Linked DNA regions of Drosophila melanogaster. The protein of the gene in region 1 interacts with the protein of each later gene in a pairwise test. Each region holds a gene or a part of one and is shown in the gene's direction. Other genes may lie near its edges. The genes, in order: CG1421 and CG14989.

Region 1 (3,409 bases):
TGAACTGTATCATTTACATCAATCAATTATGAATGGTAAGGAATTGAGTAATTAATGGTTACATCTATTATGTCCTTAGAGCATATACTAGACTGTATGCTACAAATAATTATGTTAAGTTCCCTTCAGACCATAAATGCACTTGGATAATATTATATCAAATTTATAATATTCATTGTAAATTAATTTGTTTTATGTATAAGTTAGTTATAGAGGAGACTACGGCTTAGGTCGATCTAAAAATAAGGTAATAAAATACGTACACATATGTTTGCCGTTTAGCTAAATTGGACAGTTTTTGCATAAATTATGTCCCACTTTTCACTTAATATCTATAATATCAAAGACTATTTGCCTTTAATATTCCAGTAAATTTGAAAAAACAAATTAAGATAGGAAAGAAAGTGCAAGCGGCAAGAGATTTTAATCATTAGGCTTACAGGTAGATCACAGTTCGTTAGGGAATAGCTCATTGCATTTTATGAGGTCAAGATAGAGATAAGCCTTTGATCTGGAACGTTTTCAAGATTGCGCTTCACGGTTCGCGGATGATTAACATCTTGGAAATTCGGTCGCAGGCATCTAGGATTATGAAAGCAGTACTGCATACTAAAGGTACGCAGATTCATCAGATCGCACCTGAGCTCGATAGACTCCGGCGGTTCAAAGGGATGCCGCCGCCACTACAGGCAAACAAACAAACAAACAAATTAGGAACTCGTTCGATTGCTAGAATTATGATGGGAACCAATCAGCAATGGCTGATTCGAACGTTCCTCCGTTTGAAGTTCCTTTGACCTGGCCTCGGAAGCAGCCGCCTTTAATCTCCGATCGCGTTAATGGCCCACAATTGGCCTAGCTGAAAGACACTTCCGTGTCGGCCTTTTTGTTGCTCATTGTGGGTGGCAACCACTGCTGCCGAAACCACAATCACGCAATCACAATCTCAACCACTCCACGCACCACACAGCAATTGGCGCCTCCAAGTATAACTTATATGTATTTGTATCAGCTAATTTTTAATATTTTATAGACTCTGGACCTGAAAAACGCTTTGAACTCGCCTTGATTCGGATACCTCCCTGCGCTCCGGACCTGAGATATTTATGTGTTTGGTGGAGTACCTAGCCCATAAATTGCACGAAATTATGCGTAAATAAAGCAAAGCCGGCTGTTCGGGGTCCGCCGGCCGTTTGATGTTGTTCTGTTGTTGTGACTCGGATGGTGGGGTCATGAGGTAAACTAAATCTAAATCATATATTTCCTCAGAAATCGGAAAATACAATTTATAAATAAAGCTCTGAACGGATTTGCCCAACTGAATTGGGTTTGTGTAAAACAATCATCGTTTTAATGGTGGGGGGGGGGGAGGGGGGATTCGTTGAAAATTATGTAACAGGTAGCGTAAAAAAATATATTCCTTATCGGGATCAATAGCCACGTCGATACAGCCATGCCGGTCGTATGAACTTTGACTTTAGTGACGCCTACGATGAGCAATTTTCTTTTAGAGCGTTGCCACGCCCACTCTTACGCCTACCAACCGCCCGAAACTGCCACGCCTGATAATTGTTTTGATATTTTTAACTTTTTTTTTAGTCTTCTAATCCCACTATCTTAGCAACGAGTCGAGAAACTCGAATATAGCGTTATTTCTTGTTTTTTGTCATTTTTATTGATTATTCAATTTAATTTTGATATTTCCCCTTGCACTCCCACTTATATCTTATATGATCGTAATCTGATAGGCGAGAGATTATTTTAAACTTATTATCCCTTAAACTGGTAAAAATCGGGATTTCTTTCTGTCCTTTTTTGTAGTTCATCACATTACCAATGCATTCATTGCCTGTCTTCATCTTTCGTCAAAATTAAACATGACTGTTAGAATAGGCAATCAATTTGTCAGATTGACAGAATAAATTTAGAAATAAGGAAATTAACAGGAAAATCGATAAAACAGAGTACGCAGGGATCTTGTTTTCAGGACAACAAAAAGACCATTGCTTACCAACATATCTTGAAGACCCCATAATGGATGGTCTGTCGCGGAAGGCGTTCCATCAAGTCGTTGGAAACAATTCAGACCATACCATTTTGCAGGATAATAAAAAGAAGTATGGCGAAGATCCCAGACAGTCTTTTTGGGTATCCGTAAGCGACTACGAGTTGGACAGGGCTTACATTGTCTACTGCTTCTTTCTCGATATCGGTGGCATTGTTGCCAAAAGCTTGACGAAAACCAATCGCATGTACCTGAAGTACTTCAGCGTGGAGGATGCCCGAATCGCGCTGAGCTACGATGGCCAAAAAATTGGATATGGCGGGGATATTCGCGTAAAAGTCACAGCTGAGAACCCCGTTTCCGAGAATGCCGTCAGTGAATTTCTGGAGCAATGCTCAGAGGGCAATGGCGATCCCCCTGACAATGAAACTACAGGAATGGCTATTGTCGATGCCGCGGATGAAAGAAACGCGATCATTTCCGATCAACTGCTGATGGGAAACCGTGGAGAAAATAAGTCCAAGGGCACTACCAAAAAAGTCGGTTTTTCCCAGTGGCTTAAAGAAAAACTATCTTATGTGTTCTACTTTTATTAAATTCCAACATTGCAGCTCTTTTCAGGGATTTGTTTGACTAACTGAGGGAGCTGTCTCTTTAGACATCGCTTCAATGTAGTTGCTTTTTTATTTTAATATCTTAATGCTAAACGTTCAAAAATAGCAACATTATCATAGTGGGTAAGAAGTCTTCAAAGCTTTTTCAAGTCGAAAATTTATTAATATGAATTATGCGAGTGCTACATTTATAAAAGATGATTTTTTGTCCTCCTATGTAATTCAAATGGATTGCGGACTGCTGTTTTTGCTGGAGGTTAGGAAAGAAATCAATGAGATCGACTTTTCCCTTTACTCCCACTGTGATCCATACTTATGTATATGTCTTAGCGTATGGCGTGTTTGCTGTGTTTGAATAGTTTTTGCCAGTAAATGTTACACACTTATCAATGCCGATAAATTAAATTCGCATTGTTCAGAAAAACATTTCTGGGATGACCGCAAACTCGGACCCTGGGAGCCATTATAGAATTTTTAATTACAATAAATCAATTTAAATAAAATGTAATTTTTCAATTTTATCAAATTGTCATTATGCGTAATTAATTCCTATGCACAAATGCATTTTAGTATAACAACGCGCAGCACGTCGAAAGTAGCGCCGTCGCCCTCTACCGCCGAGAGGTGGGAACTACGGCTATACCGGATAGTCGCCCCGATTTGCCACCATTTTCGTGTGTGCATTTGTTTTGTCAAAAATAATGCTGCTTAATTATTATATTTGTAATTTATTTGCCCCGCAGTTATCGGATCCAAATGGTAAAAAGTATGCGCGGTGCTTTAATGCCAC
Region 2 (7,643 bases), on another chromosome or scaffold:
AATTCGCTGATTGAACGGACTGGGAATTACTATTGGATTTGAAATGTATATATATTTTCACAGGTTCACAGGTTTCGGGCAACTTTCACTTTCGGTTTGGGAAACTTAGGGAACTGAGCAGCCTACACTCGCTGACGATCTGCGGAGCTATGAGCAGCAGCATCCGCCTGAGTTGCCTACGAAGCTTTTCGCATCCAAAAAATGGCTGCCCATATACCACTACAAGCGTACCTATGTATATACATACTACTCCTCAATCTCTTGCATAACCTTCAGCGACAACGACAACAACAGTGGGGCTGAGGAAAATGCGGGAAATTCTCCGGGTGACGTCATTGATTTTTCGGAAACCATCTTTGTTAAGGCCATTTTGCGTGGGCGGAGCTTCGGCCATGCGCGCCCCAAAGTATCCAACAGATACACATGAAATATGTGCGCACGCCTGGTGAATGCTAAAGAAATAATAAAACGGGATAAAGGGAAAGGAAAATATAGATTGTGATGGGGCGACCAAATGAAAAGCTAATTAACAAACTAATTTTGCCACTGTTTCTGACATTTACAATGACCCACAACTTTTTATGAGAGTTTCCTGTCGAATGAAACAAAAAAAAATAACCCTATAATTACTTTCATTTCCCGCATATATGTACATATGTGCGCTTAGATATAGAAGCCAAAGCATATAGATTCCTGGTATATAGAACAAAAACGAAATTTGGGTCAAAGCTAGGCCGCCCGCCCACTTGGGCTATGCAAAATAGATATGTATCTCAGAGTGAAATTGCATCATTTCCAATAGAACGCGTTTCGTAGCATACTTTTGAGGGCCAGAGAACATCTATGGCCATGTTATGCAACTTGGGTAAAGAGCCCAGGAGCAGCAGGACCAAAAAGGACGTCCATCAAACTGGAGAAGCTTAAACAACGAGAACCCTAGGAATACTTGCCGCAAAAGAGTTCCACCCACTCCACTTCCATTCTTATCTGACACACGGAGCAGCTGGCGTAGGATGTTACCACACACTTGGCACTTGGCACTTGGTCCTGCTGCTGCTCCAGCTCCTGCTCCCTGGGCAGGATCCAATGCGTCAGCGTATTTTCGTTGCGAGGGCTCTGGCACTTGAAAAGTGTCTTTCGATGTAACTGATTGCAACTTAAGAAGGCCATTACAGTGGCAATAACTCCCTTGCTAGTCCCTGTGATCCATCTTTTTTATTGAATGCCTGCAATATTGGCAAAATGAAGTCGACACTTGTTCAACATGACTTTCAAAACATTCTCATAGGGCGTAGTGCATTACTTTGTAGCACTAGCTAGAAGAAATCCAACGGCAGTTGCAGAAAGTCCATAAAGCCGTAATTGCACAACGAAATCGTTACTTTTGATGTGGCAACAACTGTGTGAAAGGACTTTCTTCGCAGTTTTTTAATTGTTAATTGCTCAATTGCTTTCTTGAAACAATAAAAACATTTTAGAAGACCTTAAGTGACAAATATGGCGCCTAATAGATATGAATTTGCACCCTACGCCTTAACATCTGCGTAACCCTTTAACAAAACCCATCCATCACAAGTGTCAGACAAATATTTCTGATACAAAAACAGCTCATGGTATTTAGAACCACTAAACATGGCGAAATAAAGTCGCCTGCTATCTGAAAAGCACTTCAACGGCATGTGCTACCAATAATAATTAGGCACTCGGTCTGCACTTATCGCAGATATATGGCAAACAGACCAGTCTGAAAAGGAGGGGGGGATCGGGTGTATCTGCGATAGTCTATCCTCTGATTCGCACTTGAATCTATGACACCGGCAGATAAAGCCATCAAAAACATTTATTATTAGTAAGTGGGATTTTCGTTTGGGCCGGTTTGGGCTCAGTTGAACAACTGCTACCATTTGTAGCGGACAGCTTTATATAAATCCCGTCGAGTTAAGGATTTAAGCATTTCGAGCGGAGCAGGTGCCACGAACAATCGGATTTAATTGAGTCAAACTTTTGGAAAAGCACAGTGAGTTGTAACAGGAAACGGAAACAGAAACAGAAACAGTAACAGAAACAGCAGCAGACATGGACAAACAAAAGGATTATGGGTTTAAGCCATTTTAAGAGCGATGTTTAAAATACTCTCAAAAATAATGGTTGCAATACAAGCATGTCGCCTTGCAGTCCCTTTTAAAAGTTATATGTACATTTTTAAGGAATATTTTAGTTAAAAGAATAGTCATATTACTAAAAATAACAAAGCTTTGAAGAACTATTTATTTGATTTTAATCAAACTAGAAAGCTGAAAGGGATTTGTAAAATTATCAAAAAATAAAACTATGCAGTCATTAAATATTTAATACTTCATTATAAACATTCCTTATTATTAATGATAGCAGATAAATAAATTGAGATAGATACTTTGCATCAGTAGAAATAGTTAGACAGGATCGATACCCTTTCATAAGAGCACAACTAGCGAATGGAATTGAACAATGAGATGAGCTCTCGACCAGAAAATAGGATGCTCACCTGGCTGTGATTGCACGTAGCGCAAGTAGGCCCTGTAACCCAGATAGGCGAAAATGTTTGGAGTCAAGTGCCACCCACGGATGCGGATGGAGCTGGGAGCTTGGGTCTGCTATTCTCGGGCGGCTAATTCAGACCGGGCGTTTCTGGCCAGGGCGAAGCGTCCTCTTTGGCACTCGACTCTCAACTGCCAGCCAGAGGCATCAGAAGCACAGTGGGCCAGGGAATGCTCCGCACCCCGGGGGCCATGAACATTTTTCGTTGCCCGTGGAAAACAAATGGGAGTTTGGGAATTTCGACTGTTTAGCCTGTCATTACGCTGACAAAATAAGATTCCAGCAGGTTGGTTAGCTGAGGCATTTATGTGAGGTATTTTCGACGAGAATCCCGTTGCAAAAGCGTTGTCAGGATGCCAGAATGCCAGGATGCCAGGTGGGAGTCTCAGTTGCGTTCGAAAGACAGGCGATTGCATAACCCCTTTCGGTTTGGCAAATCAAGCGAATGATATTCGGATAGCAAATGCTCGGGATAACAATGGTGTAAGGATTAGGCCCCGCAGGCAAGTACCCCAAACGCTGCTTTTTGCTGCCTATTTTTGAGAGCGCGATAATTGCATTTCGAGCACAATTGCTCCTATTGTACGGGGCCAAACAGTCTCCATTTTGGCCCAGTCCTCCCTGGAGGATAATACGCCCCAAACCAGCGTGAAAAACCCATCCCCCAGTTCCGTAATCTACCCATCTCTTTTCAGCCCAGCGATGGGAGAGCGTGTTGAAAAGCGACAGAGAAAAATGGGGGGATGTGGATTACAGCTCGTCATACCATTGGTCACAATCCTCATCCTGGCTGCGCAGGCGCAGGCTGTGACGTCATCGCCCGTCCTGAAGGACGACACTTTGGGGGATGCTGCTCCGACGGCAGCGCATTCAGCAGCCAAAATCCTTGAAGACGTCCAAACCATCAGCGCAGTTCAGGATTGGAGTTTGCTGTGTAAAGAGCTCTGCGGGTAAGTTTCGGATAAACAGCAATCGAAAACTCTAGGAATTACTGAAAGTAAGGTGCCTCGGCGCAAAGTGACTCAAGTGTTTATTGTTGGCAAGTGCAGGTTTCCCCCCAACACAAAAAAAAGTGCAAACTAATAATGATAATAATACGACACATTTACCAACTAAAATGTTGGCCTTGAGAAATCATTTGCAAATCGCGTCGGCCTTTCAAGTGGCTTCCATCGAGGTTTTCCCACAATCGCGTGTGTCAGGGAAATATAATCCGCATTCCTGATGATCGGTGGCTATATCAATGATTCGTGACTCGACTTTTGTGGCGTGTGTGCAGTAGTTTGTCAAGTGCCAAATATGTTAAGTATAAATGGCACTCGAAGTCGCCAGAAGTACTGTGCTCACTTAAAAAATTGAATAGGCTTTAAAAAATAAATTCTAAATGTCGGGTCAAAGCTAATCAAAATTATTTCACAATTTTACGATATATAATTTACAAATATTATTAATTAGAACATTTTGGCTTGCGTTTATATTTAAAATATACTCTGCATTATTTTTTAATTTGGTGTTTAATACTATTTAAAAATGTTTTGAAATAAATATATTTTTTACAAAAAAAAAAAACAGTTTATCAAGTCGAGATTTTCCTAGATCATTTGTGCTATTTAAAACTATGTTATCTGTAAACCTAGTTTCAATAACAATTATGCATATATCATGGTTCTTAACTTGGTAATGCGAGTGTCATATACTGTCATCTTAAATCTTTTTTTTTTTTAATTTACTCTGCATTGCAATTTAATCAGCATTTTATGGTTGATCCTTGCAGAGCTGGCCTGGGCGTTGCTTCAACGCCTGATGTGGCCAAAAACACAATCCTGAGACCGGAGACGGATGTGGCCAAGTGCCGGCAACTGTGTGGACTGCCTAGGGGTAAGTGGAAAATAATATATTGAAACTCTATTCAAAATATTATACTTTAATGATTATTATGGTCGAACTTAAGGTTAATTTGCTTTTTGAAAAATAAACATACTAATCAAATGCACTTATTTACTTCCAGCTAAAGCGGGCGACTTGGTCTGCTCGAGCTTTTGTGGTCAGATGGGTCGCTCCCTGCCCGGATGCAGTCCCTGCCAGCAGGAGGTGCGCAGGATGAGGGTGATGAAGGAGCGGAAGCAGGAGGAGGAGAAGCAGGAGGAGGTTCGAAAGGACGAGGAGAAGGCCAGTGGAGTGCTGGGCGATCCAACACACGGTTCCAGAGCCGCGGAGAATGCCGAACGGAGAGGATCGGTCGAGGAAGCAACAGTGTCCGCAGCTACCGTGGCAGCCGCCTCGGAAACGGACACAACCACTCCGGCACCGGACTGGGACGAAGTGTGCAAGGTGCTCTGCAAGACTGGCGATGGCGGGTCTTTGTGCAACTGTGATTTATCGCCGTTCTTCAGCTGAGCGATCCCCACCTTCCTGAGGGGATCGCTCCCGATGGAGGCGCTAAATCACAAAACCATATATATGGATCGAGAATTATCTGATTATCTGATGTTTTGTTGTTCTTCGTTTTTGAACTTCAGTTAGTGCTATTGTTGTCATGAAAAAGTATCTCCCATATATAATCTATATCGGAAAACGTGTTACGAAAGTTTAGTTAAATACTGTAAAGAGATAAAAACAAAAACTATAGAAAAATCAAAAAAAAAATCAAACAATTCAATATAAATAATACATAGAGAAGAATATACGATGAGGAGGAGGAGCAAGCAAACAAAAAAAATTCCCTATGCGAATCAATTAATTTGTAACTAATTTCAATTACAACTAACTATAGAAAAGCTATAGAGTAAGCAAGGGGGGGGACTTTACCCCCCACACTCGAGAAACAGCAGAATCACGCAGGGCTTCCAGTGCGTCGCCTCGGAGGATGAGGATGCCCTCCCAAAAGGCATCCGAAATCCCCGGGACGGACACAACCCGTATTTAGGTGATTGGTCAAGGAATTGGACTGAGGAGACACAAGAAGAGATATATGAAGATGAACAACCAATTAATATCAATGTACACAACATATCGTGCGGTAAACACTACCCAAAATCAAAAAACAAAAAAAAAAACACCCAATCACATTTATTTGGAATACACCTTGGTTCGATGGAATCAGCATATCAATTTACCACGAGGCAAAAACAAGTTGGTATCTAAAGAATTTCCTTTGTTTTGGCTTACAAGTTATTGGCGAATCTAAAGCATTGAGATATTTCAAATCAGCATCAATTAGGAGTGTCGCAATTAGGCCAAAGTGCCAACCAAGAGTTTAGTGTTGGTTACGGCCCTTAAACGCAAAAGCAACATTTATAAAATATATACTTGTACTTACTAACGAATAACACATGTAATTGGTCTATATATATATCCACAAAATGAGTTGCGATTGCAAATCAGAAACTCAGACGGGCTATACTGGATCTACCAGACCCGTATACATCATATATATATATATATGAATATATATATATACATAAAGCTGTAAACCATAGTTACCATAATATCTAGGTGTCATATTGTTCAGCATAAATAATCGCATATGATGTATTGTATGCATATTATCTGTGTGTTTGGAAGACATTTTTTCGCATTGCATTGAAATGGAAGACAACTTAAATCGCATTCTGGAAGACATGCGTTGCGGCAGCGCCAAAAAGATCGGCCAGCTGCCAAATAGTTTGTAAGATATTCTATATAATAATAATAATAATGAGATTTTCGATTCGAGCTCGAAGATATAGTCAATACAAGCACACGTTGTTGTGGCAAACGCGACGCTGTGACTGACAATAATTAACTATAACTTAGCAGGAGAAGAGCAGGCAAGGAAGTTCGCATACTCAGTGTCTATATATCAGTACTATTGCTAATATTAACCATGCACTACTACTAATCAAGGAAAATGGAAAATAATTAATAAATATTGTATTGCACCAAAGTTATAAGGCAATTTTCAGAGCACATTCATTGATAACCTAATGCGGCTTCAGTATGTATATCGATGTGTAGCAAGTTAATCACTCAGTAATTAATATACGAAATGCACTTTACATTTATGTATATGTATATGTGTTAGGCGTTGCGTTTCTGCCATGAATACAGCGACTAGCGAACCGATCACACGGATTATGCCGGAATAATATCCATAATTCAATAATATATATATACATATATATATATATTTATAACCAACAGACACATCATCATCATCAATTACGAATACCGAGTCGAAAACCGTTTCGAACCGATTATGCCGTTTCGCAGTTTCGTTTCTTTAGTTTTATCCAATGGCCAGGCATTATCTTAGTCGGTAATGTCTGGGGCTATGGTTAAAATAACACAGAAAAATAGATTTAAAGGCAATTTCACAACAGATAACCATAACAGCAACTACACAACCAAATAAAGGCAATTATTATCTTATATACGTTAAATGTTGTAAAGCCCCTCTAAACAAAAAAAAAAACAAGAAAGCCTGTGTTTTATTGGGATGGCTAAGGGGCTCAATAAATATGCAATTCAATTTTTTATTTTATTAATTTTATTACATTTTTTACAAATACCCCGAGTTTTCATTTAATTTGAATAACAAGAACTAACGTAACGTACAATTTGAATACACTGCTTTACCACGTAAGCTTGAGGAACCGTTTCACTGCTTCAACCGTGGCAAGCAGTGCATAACCGCTTGAGCTGCTTTAAACAGTATTTCAAATCAGGGCGCGCTGTCTACATTCTTATCTATATGTGTATAACAAAAAAATTGATTGCTTATTTCTTAGGTACCTACATACATATATTAATTATTTCCCATAGGAGTGCATGCGTATATTTTTCGTAGATATTATTCGCTCTCTTTTAGAAAATATATAAAGCTTAGTATGTATACTATCAACAGTGACTGATAAGCATGATTCCCGTCGAATTTTTAAAAGTGTCGCAGCTTCTGACTTTTAGTCGTTTGGAATTTGTGAGCTCAAGCAAACCATGCTCAAGAACTGGACAATAAATACGTTCCTTTTGGTTTCGTTTCTTTGTAGTGCGACTGGGCAAAATGAAGGAGGAGTATATAATATTTT

What was found.
Region 2: the proteins of CG1421 (region 1) and CG14989 interact in a two-hybrid assay, tested with the Drosophila melanogaster proteins (one large-scale study listed by BioGRID).

What each region holds. Positions count from the first base shown.
Region 1 is NT_033779.5:21,901,116-21,904,524, forward strand, and holds CG1421 (uncharacterized protein), read left to right. Parts: upstream 1-1,877; 5' UTR 1,878-2,034; coding exon 2,035-2,601; 3' UTR 2,602-2,624; downstream 2,625-3,409.
Region 2 is NT_037436.4:4,085,688-4,093,330, forward strand, and holds CG14989 (uncharacterized protein), read left to right. Parts: upstream 1-1,893; 5' UTR 1,894-2,017; intron 2,018-2,524; exon of another isoform or gene 2,525-3,057; intron 3,058-3,272; 5' UTR 3,273-3,279; coding exon 3,280-3,527; intron 3,528-4,351; coding exon 4,352-4,455; intron 4,456-4,585; coding exon 4,586-4,974; 3' UTR 4,975-7,019; downstream 7,020-7,643. Other genes in the region: CG14990 (uncharacterized protein), read left to right, coding at 7,552-7,629.